2 linked regions of the Mytilus edulis genome follow. The protein of the gene in region 1 purifies or fractionates together with the protein of each later gene. This does not show direct contact. Links are inferred from orthologs where the notes say so. Each region holds a gene or a part of one and is shown on either strand. Other genes may lie near its edges.

What was found.
Region 2: the proteins of inhibitor of Bruton tyrosine kinase-like (region 1) and ribonuclease P protein subunit p25-like protein purify together in Homo sapiens (co-immunoprecipitation; 3 studies listed by BioGRID and IntAct, with this or other methods). This does not show direct contact. The link is inferred for Mytilus edulis from reciprocal best matches to the Homo sapiens genes IBTK and RPP25L.

What each region holds. Positions count from the first base shown.
Region 1 is NC_092353.1:20,080,188-20,088,284, reverse strand, and holds the start of inhibitor of Bruton tyrosine kinase-like, read right to left. Parts: upstream 3,506-8,097; 5' UTR 3,340-3,505; intron 567-3,339; 5' UTR 334-566; coding exon 28-333; intron 1-27. UniProt on the Homo sapiens protein: Acts as an inhibitor of BTK tyrosine kinase activity, thereby playing a role in B-cell development. Down-regulates BTK kinase activity, leading to interference with BTK-mediated calcium mobilization and NF-kappa-B-driven transcription.
Region 2 is NC_092345.1:96,831,639-96,839,861, reverse strand, and holds the start of ribonuclease P protein subunit p25-like protein, read right to left. Parts: upstream 3,297-8,223; 5' UTR 3,180-3,296; intron 782-3,179; 5' UTR 773-781; coding exon 632-772; intron 76-631; coding exon 1-75. Other genes in the region: uncharacterized protein, read left to right, coding at 3,615-7,061. UniProt on the Homo sapiens protein: May be a component of ribonuclease P or MRP.

The DNA.
Region 1 (8,097 bases):
GTTTTAAATTTGAACTGATGTCACTACCTGCACAAGTAGTCTAAAAGCTGCCAACTGTCCATAAAAAGCTGCTCTATGAAGGGCGGTCCACCCAGATTCTACATCTTTAAGGGTGGCATCAGCATTCCTATCAGTCATCAACCATTCAATCACATCACACTTGCCACACGATGCTGCCACATGTAGGGTTGTCCTTCCATAAATATCTGTCACTTGTGTAGAAGCATAACAAAGTTTACAGTATGCTTGAATTTCTTCTAACAGCCCCTTTGTTACGGCTGCATTGACTTCTAATGCATGCCGTTTTGATTTACACTTCAACCCACACTCCATATTTACAGATATAGTCTAATGTTTGACTTTAATCACAAAAGAAAGTTGACTTAATAGTTGTAGACTGAAGAAAAATAAATACTGTATGTCTTGGTTATAAATACTGGTATTTGTGGCACAGAATTTGCTAAGAAGAAGCACCAATTAACAGCTGGATACCAGCCAAAGACTGGATGCCCACTATAGGGCAACCATAGTGTCAGTGTTTAAAAAGCCATAATGGTAAGATTAACCTGAAATTAAGAAAAACAATAATTAATTGAAATGTAATTACTAATAAAAAAGTCAGTACAATTTCTAGATGCAAATAAAAATATTTTCTTCTCATATACAAATTTTCCTTGAATGGTATACTGTATATTGGATACCATTTATTCTCTTGACCAAGTGCTTTCCAATTATGTGCCATATACTATTTTATATATAATTAACTTGTTCAAGTAAGAAGTCATTCTGTTGGACGCTGCATTGTAAAATTGAGAAAGGAAATGGGGAATGTGTCAAAGCGACAACAACCCAACCATAAAGTTGACAACAGCCTAAGGCCACAAACGGGTCTTCAATGTAGCGAGAAACTCCAGCACCTGGAGGCTTCCTTCAGCTGGCCCCTTAAAAAGTATGTATACTAGTACAGTGATAAAGGACGTCATACTAAACTCCGAATTATACACAAGAAACTAAAATTAAAAATCATACAAGACTAACAAAGGCCAGAGGCTCCTGACTTGGGACAGGCGCAAAGTTGTGGTGGGTTAAACATGTTAATGAGATCTCAACCCTCCACCTATACCTCTAGCCAATGTAGAAAAGTAAACGTATAACAATACGCATATTAAAATTCACTTTCAGTTCAAGAGAAGTCATAATATAATCTGTATTGTATTATAAATCAATAAAAATTTGTACTATTCCAATCACCATGTAAATGTATTTTCCTTAATTTAAGCTTGCAAAGAGTCATTAAAAACACACAAAGGTGTCAATATTTACACACCCATCGATAAGTTGTCATAAATCACACATGTGGTCGCTGGCCAGTATACTAGTATGATATCAAGCAGGTGTGTTGTATTCTAAATAGTTTCTGCCAGATACATTGGCCACACTCAATGAACTGATTATATGGGGACGAAGTCCCCAATAACAGTAGAAAAATCAATAATAAAAAAAAATTTTAAAAAAATCAGGAAATTTAATTTTCCCAAAATTTTCATTGTACTAATGAACTCAAAATCGTTCAATTTTTTTGATGTCATGTTTTGAATTCCCACATCTGCGCAGAAATCTACAATGTACTTCCTTTTTCTGGTCTCGTTTTTGTGAAACTTTGAGTAAAATATATATTTATCAGTCTAGTATAAAATAGAAAGGAACGCAATACCAATTTCATTTTTTTTATAATTCCTCGATATGAAAAAACGTTACCTGATGAAAGCGTTTCTTGGTTTACATTGCATATGATGTCATAACTTAAATAACGTCACAACTAAAAATCCCTAACAACAGAACCAAAATTGGAAACGTTACGGTATTTCCGTTTCTTTTTTTTAACAAATATTTAAGGTTCAAAAAAATAATTCATACAGACTTCGTCCCCATTTACAGGTAATGCCTGCCTCATATTAGCCTTGCAAGTGCCTCACCCCTATTAACATACATGTACAGTGGTCTCGCTAGCCCAAAATAGAAGGGCGCCGCACCCTGGGTGCCCTCAGCCGCGCCCTGGGTGCCTTCATCCGCGCCCTTCTGCCCTGACGTCTTTTTCCAAAATTCTCTTGTGCCGTTTTGGTAAAATTGCTTTTTGTTTCATCGATTTCTGATCTCCAAGTTAATTACATATATGACACCTGTGTGATTGCCCCCAGGTTAATCATGTCATTACAATCAATTACAATGATAAAGACTTCAAAGGTGTTAATAACTAGGTAATTTAATTAGGACAATGTATCTTTTTGTCATACTTTTGATGAACGTGTCAGCAAGTGTGTTTAGGTTGGGTCGGCATTTTCGATTTCCAAGTCACAATGAAAGAGTGTATAAATGAAGACTTTCATGACTTTAGAATTGAATTTAAGTCATCAAAATAAAACTATGCCTTCACAGAAATGCCTTCCATCTCAACTTGTTAGCGACAAGCACAGTTTTTAATTAACGCAAACGTGTTGGAAATTAATTTTGGAGTTACTTCCCCTGTTTTAGCTTATTACAAATTTGTGCTCTAAAAATATTATCTAGTATCAAAAAAAGGAATAAAGAACCAATTGAATATATAATAACATAATAATGTTACCTTAAGGATATTAACTGTCTTTGAACATATTAAAAAAAATATATTGCAATTTCTGTTTGATAATTATACTTTTAGCAATCCATGTTCTAAACATTGATAAATTAGTAATACACTACAAAGTTAGATAAATAACATATAAAAGCTGAAATTCTTATAAAGATAAAAAAAAAATTCTTCGACAATGGGTAGAGTGAAGTTAAACTATAAACACTTTTATAAGTTGATGAAGATGTACTATATAATTCATAACTACACAAACAATGAAATAAAGACTATAGTTAAAATGCATCTTTATTTAAAAAAAACAACATATACAGTAAAAAAAAAAGAGATTCGTTAACTCGTGATACACACAGAAACGTAGACAAAAAAAATGGCAGTGCCTTTTCTTATCATAAAAAGTGCCCTGCCCTCCACTGGCACCCTGCCCCTTTTGATTTCTAGCTAGAGCACTGCATGTACATGTATATATACCAATATAATTATTTAAGTTTACCTTTATTGACTATAAAGACATTCAATGGATATAAATGAACAAATTTATAGCAAATCATAGCACTATATTCCCGATCATAGTGAGATATGCCAAGAAAATTGCATAACAAGTATGAAACACTGTGTATGTCACTTCTTCAAAAGTTCTTGTGACCTTAACCATGTTAACATGTTCAAGATATTTTTGTTAATTCAACCAAAGCATTCGAGTTTTGCATTACCTGATCAAGAGGACAGAACATTATTGTCGCAAACAGTGTAGAGGGAGTATGTAAAGTTGGTGTTTATGCTTAGTTTAGACATAATTTTTATATAATTTCTATTTTTTTGACGTGGTGAAATATAAACAGGAAACGACGATTCAAATTTATTAACCAAATCAAATCTGGAGAAATGTTCCGGAAATATGTCCGATTCTTAAAAGAGGCCCCTCATGGGGTAGTCCAAGTAATCACAGAATCATTTACGATTTTTTGTTTCAACAAGATAATCAAGTGGTCAATATACTGTGTTGGATCTGTAATCTGGTAATAAACTTTTTGTTCATATCCTTAAAAAAATTTGATCTTTTACATAAATTCGTATTTGTATTTTTTATTTTAATTTCACTACTGTAGAAGTCATAAAACAAATAATTTTAACTTTTGTCCATGTCATAGTGACACGTTAAAATTTGGTTTTGTGGTTATTTAATTTTGTAGCTGGGTTACTATGTCATGGGCATATAACCCCACATCTCCTTTTATTCATCATAGACTCATGGGTTCAAATGATACAACAAAAGGTGGTTTGTTAGAAAAAAACTGTAAAGTGACAAAAAATTACTACGTTTTGCAACTTTAGTCTAAAGGTTTTAAACTATTTTACAAGTGACGCCGCTCACGATATCCCCGGCAGAATTCATCATGGACAAACGGAAAATACTCTATATATATGTGAAACAGGAGAAGCGCTTTCTGTGTTTGTTACTTAAGTTATTATATCGAAAGCTAGTTAAAAAAAAAGCAGCTAGCTGGGACTATTATACTAATGATATTATAATAGTCCCAGCACCTAGTGACTATTCAAATTAAATCGCAGGAAAAAGTTTTAAAAAAGAAGAAAAATACCGAACTAGCTCCGAGGAAATTTCGAAACGGAAAATTCCTAAGCAAATCATTTTTGGCAAAATCAAATTTTCAAACACCAAATAAATGGATGACAACTGTCATATTCATGACTTGGTTCAGGCATTTTCTGAAGTATAAATGGTGGATTAAACCATACAGTCGCATACAATTCCATTATATTGATAACGATGTGTGAACAAAACAAACACAAAAAGATAGATAAAAATATCAAAACTTGATAGGGGTGCAGCAGTCAACATTGTGTTTTAACACGCCTGGTAAACCAACAATCTAATCTCAACCAAATGGTTGAGACGGAAAAAAGTATTCTGGCACTTCCTGTTGAGCTTTTCTGGTTCAAAATATTGAAAATAAACACAGGGTAGGTCGATTTTTTGTCGATTTACTGAAAATTAACGACTTTTTTTGTAAATCGGAGAATGTCATGCCATAGACAAATCATAATTGTAACTAATATGTCTCTTCTTGGTTTAAAATATTTTAAATTGAAGTCACAATCACTTTTCTCCTACGGATTATAATGTTTACATTCTTTAAATACGATAGAAGTGCTATGATATTAATGACTTAGCAAGAAAATATGTCAATAATTTGTGTTTTTTTAGGCTTTACGATAACCACGTCTGTAAATTGCACAAATATGTGTTTGTCAAGCCTACTCTGAGCAAAAAATAAAAAAATTAAAATTGGTTGAGATATAAAGGTATTGGTTGAATCTTTCTGTCACAATGTTGAGACTTTCTGGTTGCGCTGTACTATTCGAGTTTACCTTTTTTTATGGTTAACCTGATTCATGTTCTCTGTCTAGGGTAACATAAAATCTAAATACAGATACAATTTTAAGCATTGCCGATAGAAAAATGCATGCCTTACAAATATAAATAAGATTATTTTACAATGGTTATTCATTCATATGATTTGGATGAATTCGATTCCTAACAGACAATATTTGATGCCGAAAATGCGTACATTTATAAAGAAATAAAATAGTTAAAAACTAAACAATCGAACAGGACCCCTTTTCTAGGTTTATTTTTTCTTACACATTATTTCAGGGAGAGGATAATTTAAATGTGAGTAAAAGATGTCATTTTTGTCATTATAATACTTATCACAAAAAAAAAATATGACGATTTTAAAATTGCTTTGTAATTATTATAAGTGACGTCCAACTTAGTGTAATCACAGGTGTTGTATTGAAATAATTAAAACTTAGATATTTGTTTACAACTGCATTCAGGGCACATCCTTAATATTTGGTAATATTCAGCAACATTTATATTATAACCCGGGCCCCGTCACACTAGGTCTCGCACTACGATTTCTAAAAAAATAATGCTATTGACGATCGTAGTGCAGTTTGGTTGTGTTACGGTCTTGATGAGTTCTTGGTGATCGTGTTGAGAGTAGCCAACTTTTAACATGTTCAAAACAATCGTGATGCGTTCGTGGCGAAATCAGGTCGCAGTTCTGTTCTAGTCGTAGATTTTTTTAGCCGTGGAACTGTCGTTCCAGATTGAACTGTGTAAATCAGTTCTAGGTAGAACTTACCAATGACCAAATCAGTTCTTGATTAGAACTGTTTAAGCTAGAACAGTCTTAAAGTGTCAGGAGATAGTTCAACATTTGTCCTCCAGTTCTCCTTCAGATTATGACAGTAAGAGGTAATCTATATTGCATGTACATCTCCTTTGCAATTATCTACTTTAAATAATAACTTTTGATGAAATGAAAGAATTTAATGAATATCCATTTCTGAATATTAATTCAGTTTTCTTTTTAAATATTTTAAAACTGGATTCGACGTAGCTTAATTGTGGGAGATAGTTAAAAAAAAATTGTGTGTATGCTAAGCATGCGATATCTGCTAAAAACTGTGGTCACACCTTACCAGATAGCTCGAACGAACGTCGAAAGGATAAACAAAAGTTTTCGATTTACAAAATTTGCATCCGTTAGGAGTCCGTGATGTAATGGCCAAATAAAACGGACGTGTTATATGCCGAAAAATGGGACGGAAGAGGAATAAAAAAAAATGTCAGAATAAAAAGCCAATAATTTTGCCTGATCATGATTGAGAAGTTGAGCCAAAAATATTCATGGTACTAAAGAAAACTAACATACCAATAATTGCCTTTTCTTACGCGATTTGTTTTCAATTTGTATGTATCCGTTTTATTATCAATGTTCTTTCTGTGGTACGATTGCCAATGATACAACTCTCCAAAAGGGACCAAAATGACACATAAAGTAACAACTAGAGGTCGCCGTATAGCCTTCAATAATAAGCAAAGCCCATACTGCATAGACAGCTATAAAAGGCCCCAAAATGACAATGTAAAACAATTGTAACGAGAAAACTAACGGCCTTGTAAATATAAAAAAAAATGAACGAACAACAAATATGTAACACATAAATAAATAAATAATTAATAGCCCTGGAGATGTCAATTACAACATTATTGACGTTAAAGCTTCTGTGCAAAACTGCATCTCAAACGCTAGAATTAATCTCCAGCGTTAGAACTTTAATACTAGTACTTAAAAAACACAGCTATTTACTATTTAGACTCTATTACAACCAAAGGCCTCTTTAGAAGCTGCTGTCATAACTACAGACAAGATTAAAATGACTGTTGAAATGTCAAACAATATACGGCAAGTTTATGAATTTTGACAGTTGTAAGCTACACAAGGTCATGTTTTTCTCTGACTGTTTATGACGTCTTTACACTAAATTAATTTGATGTGTACGGATTGATAGTTTAGTCTTAGATGCATGATTTTTTTATTAGTTGTTAATGGCTTTTAACTAGCTGTCAGATAACTGCGAGTACTCTCAAATCTGTTCCTAGTGTCTTTTTGTTGTCGGGATGTTCAAGAACCCGGCCACGTCCAATTGCATTTTTGTTCATCTGATGAGTTAAACCTTTTTCAACTGATTTTTATAGCTCGTTCTTATGTTGTACTGTTATATATACCACTGTTCCAGGTAAGGGGGAGGGTTGGGATCCCGCTAACATGTTTAACCCCTCCACATTATTTATGTATGTGCCTGTCCCAAGTCAGGAGCCTGTAATTCAGTGGTTGTCGTTTGTTTATGTGCTGCATATTGAATCATATTTGTTTTCCGTTATTTATTTATTTTTTATACAGATAAGGTCTTTATAGTTTTCTCGTTTAAATTGTTTTACATTGTCATATCGGGGCCTTTTATAGCTGACTATGCGGTATCGGCTTTGCTCATTGTTGAAGGCCGTACGGTGACCTATAGTTGTCAATGTCTGTGTCATGTTGGTCTCTTGTGGACAGTTGTCCCATTGGCAGTCATACCACATCTTCTTTTTATAGTTGAAAATTTCATTCACCAGAAGATCTCAACATTGTTCCAGAATATCTCAACCGATACCAGAAAATCTCAACATGACATACTTTATAACATATTTAGCTTTAGGAAATTATATTAGTAAAGAAAAAGAACAAACTGTAATTTTATGTTTATAATGTTTTAGAAAAATACTTATTTACTAATATATATGCTAGTTTATCAATGATATCACTGTCATTTTGTCAATAGCCGACTGCGCTGGCCACATTTACCTGCTGGAGAAAAGTCATTACGATGTCATTTTAAATCATATTCATTTGTGTTATACACGAGACAAACTGTAATTCCAATATCTATGGCATGACATTCTCCGATTTTACAAAAAACACATTGATTTTCAGTAAATTGACGAAATTTCGACCTACCCTGTGTTTATTTTGAATATTTTGAACCAGAAAAGCTCAACAGGAAGTGCTAGAATACTTTTTACCGTCTCAACATTTGGTTGAGATTAGATGGTT
Region 2 (8,223 bases), on another chromosome or scaffold:
AATTTCTGCACAAGATATAGCTTTATTCATAGCATTCCCAGATCCATTCCAAGTCATCTGTTTTATTGTTGGTTCCTTCAAAAAAGCAAAACAAAACTGAACATGAATAAATCAATATCAATACATATATTTTAGACTAGTACAGTACCAAACACAGCACTATGTGTAGGGTCCATTGTACATGTTAACCATTTGACAGGCTGCTTGAAGGATTTAGACTAGTAGTACCAAACACAGCACTATTTGTAGGGTCCATTGTACATGTTAACCATTTGACAGGCTGCTTGAAGGATTTAGACTAGTAGTACCAAACACAGCACTATTTGTAGGGTCCATTGTATATGTTAACCATTTGACAGGCTGCTTGAAGGATTTAAAATTTGCAATTCTTGATAAAACCACCAGCAGGTTTTCTTTGTAATACACTAGACAAAATGAATCATCTAATAAAGGCTTGTTAAACCTTATTGGTTTTTTTAATGTGTGCATCTATTTTTTAAAACTTTTAAAGACATCTACACCATTTTGTTCATCAAAACTAAGTTTACTAACTGTGTGATCATGGAGTACCTTATATTAAATTACCTGTATTTTGAAAATGTTATATAGATGTAAATAGATTGACACAAACCTTCATTTTTTTCATAGCGAATCCCATGAGATTACGTATTTTACTTCCTGCATTAACTTTCATTTCAATACCAGTTTCATTCAGACTAAAGATAGAAGGTGCTTCCACCATCCTGACTTCTCCTTTATCATACTGTTCCATTTTACATCCCTGAAACATAATGTAATAAAAATAAAGTGGAAAGGTTTTTCACATACAATCTTTAAAATTGCCTTTGTGATTCTTGTATCATTTTAATTTTAGTTCATTTATTTGTTTTGGAGTTTAGTCTGACATCCATTTTCATTCAAGTAGAACACATTTTTATTTAAAATCCAGTTGAACTTGAAGACTGCTTCCTAATACAGATTTTTCTTACAGTACGGCGTTATAGACGCATGGTGGCCTTTGGTGGTTGTTCTCCTCTTTGGTCGGGTTGTTGTCTCTATGACACATTCCCCATTTCCATTCTCAATTTTATTTTGGGTATATTTTTACTGTATTTTTTTTTGAGTGAAAATGCGTGCCATAATCATGATAATGCGGATAACTTAAAGTATTATGTCTTAAATCATGTAAATAACTGAATGTAGACTAGAAAGGCATCCCCAATGCCCATCAAATTATCATTCTTGAAATTGGAAACAATTGGTTTTCACTTGACTGTAACTGTGTTTGTTAACATTTTCATAGAAAAACTGCATGAAAGTACCGCTATAATCAATATCAGAAATGTTTTAACCTTTTATTAACAAAAAGAGTGCACACAAGGAAATGTCTCGCCTTCTTTACTTTACCATGATTGAATTCATTTTGAAAGATTTTACAATGTACTACAACTTAGAACAAGTTTCAAATTAACTAAACATTATTAATGATCTATGCAAATGAGGTTAAAATCAGATGAACCCTGCTGGACAGACATGAACACACTACAATCAATCAATTACACCAATTATAGTTACCATTTTGCTTATACATGTAGTATCTGAGAAACAGACCTAATTATGAATATTGATAATTGCCAAATGGACCATAAAAATGAGATCACGGTCAGATGTTCGAACCAAGCCAGACAACATGTACATTATACAATTATTCCATGTAATACACCAAATGTAGTTGACCTAAATGTATTACTTATATCATCTGTCAGATAAACTGACAAGCAATACAAACTTAACACTGACCAATGAAGCAGGAAATGGTCAGATAAAAATTGCAAGACAGACACACAAGGTCAAGTATTACAGTCAGAGCTATGACAAAAGTAAGTTAGAATCTTCCAAGAATAGTAAAAGTCAGACTATGCTTTTATAGAAAAATTTGCATACAAGTGACAAAGTATAAATATATCTTTGTCTATGGTCCTCACATGTACAGGTAAAGATGATTTGCTGCTTCCAAAAACATGTTAAGGATGTCTGCTGCTCTAATTTAAAATAACAAGGATTTCATGTGGTTGCTTAAAATGAAAACAACTTTGATATTTAAACAAAATAAAGTAATAAAATCATTAGTCTCGTGTGTAGTTTTCAAAATACGAGACATTTAGAAAATGGCGGGAAAAGGGTTTTCTTCAGACTTTACTATTTGTTAACATTGGAATTGTTTTTTACCCTTTAAACCAAGAAAAAATAACAAGGATTTCATGCCGCCGGATCACTAAATCTGAAATGATCTATTGAACAGATTTATGAAGACAAAAGTGGGGTGTCGTGTAAAAAAAATTTAATACATTTGGATGGATAAAACCTGAGAAAATCGAAAATATGACAAGAATTCAAAAACATGACCAGCAGACATCCTTAAATCCTGCTACATTTTGAATATGCCTGTCCCAAGACATTGACCTGTACATAGCTGAACAACATACATGTGCATTAATCTTAATTTAGTGCCTTGTTCTTGTAGTAAGCTGGTACCCAAGACTAAAGGCCAGTTCCAAGATACGGTTTTCAGACAAATCTGTCATGTGACTTCCATCACCACGTGACAAAAATGTATGCATAGAAATTTCCAACACATGTTGAGCAAACGATTAAAAAAGTTTTATCACATACTGCACTAAATATTTGGGAAATTAAAATCTAAAAGACAAGGGTCACCCTCCCTCAGTCCTACGACAATCACGATTATGAACTTACGGAACATTAATTATTTCTATACTACCCTACATAATGACGTTTATGAAAAGTGCTGGAAAGTTTCAATAGAGCAGGGACATAGGCGTGTCTTCTATCTGGTAAATGACGGCATAAAGGTGTGCGAAATTGACCATCTTTTCCGGTGAAAAACATACAGGTTCCCGTAAAATTTGGACGTTGTAATACAAAATATCTGACGCCACAATAGAAAAGTGATAAAATTTGTTAAGGTGTATAGTTCTAGCTATTATAGTCAGTCATTCCTACGGCCCCATCTTGTCTGGAAAAACAGCCGTTGGACATATAAATCAGGCATTTCATCGCCCATGTTGTCCGTTCAAATTATTTATTTTAGTTACTATGCCATTTTTGGGGTAGGTGAGTTATAACTGCTTGTTCATTTTTTTCTTTTTGTTGTTCACCTTTTAACTCTCCATAATCTTATATTTCATTTTTCAATCTTTCTTCATGCCAAATTATATTTTCGGTGTCAAAATATATTTTAAATGAATAAGGTGTATTTCACAATTCGTCAAACGTTTGAAAGAATTAGATGATAATAATATCAAAAATAATTGTGTACAATAAACAACAAGATGTATGACCAGGTATGCCTATTTAATTGTAATATTACAGTACTTTTTTAAACAGTCAGAGTTATGCCTCTTTACACACATTTGCAACTTTATATTATTAATGACAATTTACACACACAAGTGAAATATAAAAAAAATTCACACCTTTCATTACAACTTATATGATTGATGCTTGTTTATACATAATGAAAATGCTAATCAATGTCATCGGGTCTCACAAAATCAGTATTGTGGTTATGTTTTAATATATATATACATAAAATGCTTCAGCTAGGATGCTGGAATATAAATGGTTTCTCTAGTCAAAAGTTAAATGATATAAATTGTAGTAAATTTGATATTTTTGGAATAGTGGAGTCATGGACCCACGGCGAGTCATCGATATCTTTTAAAAATTATACATGCTTTCACCAACCTGGAATTAAGAAAAAAGGTAAAAGAGGACGAAGATCAGGTGGAATCATTCTTTATTTTAAAAATGAATTCAAAAAAAGTAATGCTATCATTAAAATAGCCCAAAGTAAAAACTACATCTTTATTAAATTAGACAAAGATAAATGTGGTCTTACACATGATATTTTTTTAGGCTGTGTATATATAAATCCAAGGGCAAAGTCAGTATGTCCAGAAAACGATAAAATTTTTGATTCATTATCTAGTTTAGTGAATAAATACTCAGAATTGGGTAAAGTTATAATCATGGGAGACTGTAATAGTAGAACTGCTAATTTAATAGATTATATAGAACTTGATGAGACAGACTACCACCAGAATTCTGAGGGCAAGTCCAATTTACCTACAAATTATACATCAGATCTAATTTTACCCAAAAGAAACAACCTTGATCCTGAGATAAATGAACAGGGAAGAATGCTAATAGATTTTTGTATAGAATCAAAGATGAGAATACTTAATGGTCGAATTGACGGTGACTCGCTGGGGTTCCATACCTACTACTGTCCAAGAGGAAGTAGTAGTATTGATTATTTTTTAGTTTCTGAAGATATTTTTCATGAATTTGTTTATTTACATGTCTTTCCACCAAATGAGCTTTCAGACCATAGTTTATTATGGACTGGTTTAAAAAACAACAGTAACTATATATACTCACAAATTAACAACAACATTAATACTAAGGATTGTGATCTTCTTCCAGGTAAATACAATTTGGAATCAGGCTCAAGAGAAAAATTTGTAGAAGCCGTACAAGATTCAAAACTTTTAATTGATCAATTTTTACTAGAAGTCAATAATCCTGAAATGGATATAAATAATTTATCTGAAAATCTGAGCAATATAATTTTAGACTCAGCAAATAAAACATTTAATTTTAGACCATTCAAGGGGAAAAGAAAGAAAAAGAAAGGAAAACAGAAATGGTTTAATGGAAATTGTAAATTTTTTAAAAGGGAACTTAACAATCTTGGAAGTAGATTACAACAACATCCTAATAATCATGATTTAAAAACATCATACCACCAGTTAAGAAGGGAGTACAAAAAATTACTAAAAGATACAAAAAAGAAATTTATAACAGATATAATTGATAAATTAGATTCTCTTCATGAAGATAACCCTAAATTATTTTGGAAAACCATTAATAATCTGAAGAAAAATACAAATAGAGAAGAAAATCCTATACCTCTATCTGAAATGTCAAATTACTTAAAAAAGCTTTATGAAGAAAATAATACTGATTTAGATATCTCGAAGATAGAAATTGAAAATATTAATAATAAACATTTAGATTATGCATTCATTTGTAAAGAAGTCAGAGATGGCATTAAAAAACTTAAGAAGAATAAACAACCAGGAATAGACCTTATATATAATGAATTCCTTTTATATGGAAAAGACCTATTACTTTTACCTATTGTTAATTTATTTAACAGAATTTTATCAAGCGGAAAATTTCCAGATGCTTGGAATTTATCTTGTACTTCCTTCTTACACAAAAATGGTGACATAAACATATGCGATAATTATAGATGTATTAGCCTTACCAGCTGTCTTGGCAAGCTTTTCACCTCATTATTACAGAAAAGACTGCATAAATATATGGAAGAAAATAATCTTTATAATCCCTTTCAAGCAGGATTCAGACCAGATTATAGAACTGCAGATCATATTTTCACTATTAAAACTTTGATAAATAAATATTTACACAAATTAAAAAAGCCTATTTTTGCTTGTTTTGTAGATCTCTCTAAAGCTTTTGACTCTGTTTGGCACTCAGGATTACTTAAAAAACTATTAAATCTTAAAATTGGAGGAAATTTCTATAAGATAATTAAACATATGTACTCTAATTCAAAGTTTGTGGTAAAAAAAGAAAACTTTATTTCAGAAGCTCATAGAGCCAATAGGGGTGTTAGACAAGGTGATGGTCTTAGCCCTCTGTTATTTAATATATACACTAATGATCTGCCAAAAATATTTGATTTTTCAAAAACATTTCCTGTGTCACTCATTACAACACAATTTAATTGTTTACAATATGCAGATGATTTAATTCTACTGTCAGAGAGTGAAAAGGGTTTACAAGCTTGTCTGGACAGCCTGGGAATATATTGTAACAGATGGAAGTTGAAAGTCAATATTACTAAAACTAAAGTTATGATTTTTAGTAAGGGCAAGAAAAAATCTGCCATCAAATTTAAAATTAATGGTCAAAATATAGAAACAGTCGATAAATATAAATATCTTGGAATGCTGATTTCATTTAATGGCAATTTAAAGCATGCCGCAGAACATATGTATAATAAAGCTCTTAAAGCAGTATTTAGTCTTAAATCAAATATTCTAGATTATAATTACTCTGGTACCAAGCTTAAGCTAAAGTTATTTGATTCTCTAATTAGACCTATTACAACCTATGGATCAGAAGTTTGGATATCCGATTTTACTTTAAAAGATTTAAATAAAGATAATATACCATTTGAAAAAATACATAATAAATTTTGTAAATATCTACTTGGAGTACATAAAAAGGCATCAAATTTAGCCTCCAGGTGTGAATTAGGAAGATTACCAATTATTAATTTTATTACTAAATTGGCTTTTAAATATTTCATAAGACTGCAACAACTTCCATCTGATAGATTTCTTGCTGAAGTGTATAAAGTAGATAGAGGACTTTTCAAAGAGGGGTCAAAATCATGGTATTCATTTATTGATTATAGTTGCAAAAAATTTAAATTGGATGTAAAGAATTTGGAAAATGAAAATCTAGAATTGAAAATACACGATCAAACCATCCAACTAATTAAAGAACAGCTTCAAAATTATTCTAATTACAATTCTGACTCAAAGCTTAAATATTTTTCATTTTGTTACACAAATTTTTCTCTTCAAAAATATCTTGACTTTAATATTCCAAAAGCACTATGTAAAAATTTGACTAAGTTAAGAATTAGTGCACATTCTCTTTTAATAGAAAAAGGTCGTTATCATAGACCAAAAATTCCGCATAACTCAAGACTTTGTCAGACTTGTGATTTATTAGATGATGAAAAACACTTCATTTTATACTGTAAAAAGTTTTCAATTTTAAGACAAGATCTCTTCAAAAAATTAAATATCGACCCCTCGGATTTAAATAAAAGGGAAAAGGAATCTACTATTCTACATAACATTATGTATCCTTTAAATAAAATTGATACAAAAGCTATCTGTACTTTTATTGAAAAAGCTTTTCAACTATATTAATGTTTTACAACTTATATTAGCTCTGTCCAGATATTATTTCTAATGTATATGCATTTATTTTGTATTAATTGTTTTAATATCTGTTCATTGTGTGGAAGACATCAATTGTGCACTGTACATATATATTGATTATCCAATAAACATATTTGATTTGATTTGATTTGATATTCGGATCCCAATCCGTTCTACAAAAAATTTATAACCTGAGTAATCTAATAACCAGAAATTTACCATTATAGCATCGACGCGAAAGTACCACAATACAACTGTACCCAATTTGATAGTTATTCATTTTTAAACCATCACTAAATAAGACTTTTAAAATTATCCAGTTATCAAGTTTTGGTCACTCTTTTAAATTATATAAATATACGGAATCAATTTCTTCTTTTTTCTGGAGGGGAGTTTTTTCTTTGTGTGGATTAGTTTTTGCCCCTCAATATTATAACAATAATTCTTATGAAAGGGATGCGAAAATAAATTTGTGTTTCAAATTAGCGCAAAAAAAAACACTGTTGGAGCAAATCCCAAAATGAAACACCTGTGAGTGCATTCTCGATAATTTAAGTATATAGGAGTTAGTAACATTTATACAAAAAAAAACTAGAGGCTCTAAAGAGCCTGTGTCGCTCACCTTGGTCTTTGTGAATATTAAACAAAGGAAGCAGATGGATTCATGACAAAATTGTGTTTTGGTGATGGTGGTGTGTTTGTACATCTTACTTTACTAAACAGTCTTGCTGCTTACAATTATCTCTATCTATAATGAACTTGGCCCAGTAGTTTCAGGGGAAAATGTTAATAAAAATTTACAAATTTTATGAAAATTGTTAATAATTGACTAGAAAAGGACAATAACTCCTTAGGGGGTCAATTGACCATTTCGGTCATGTTGACTTATTTGTAAATCTTACTTTGCTGAACATTATTGCTGTTTACAGTTTATCTCTATCTATAATAATATTCAAGATAATAACCAAAAACAGCAAAATTTCCTTAAAATACCTATTCAGGGGCAGCAACCCAACAACGGGTTGTCTGATTCATCTGAAAATTTCAGGGCAGATAGATCTTGACCTGATAAACAATTTTATCCATGTCAGATTTGCTCTAAATGCTTTGGTTTTTGAGTTATAAGCCAAAAACTGCATTTTACCCCTAT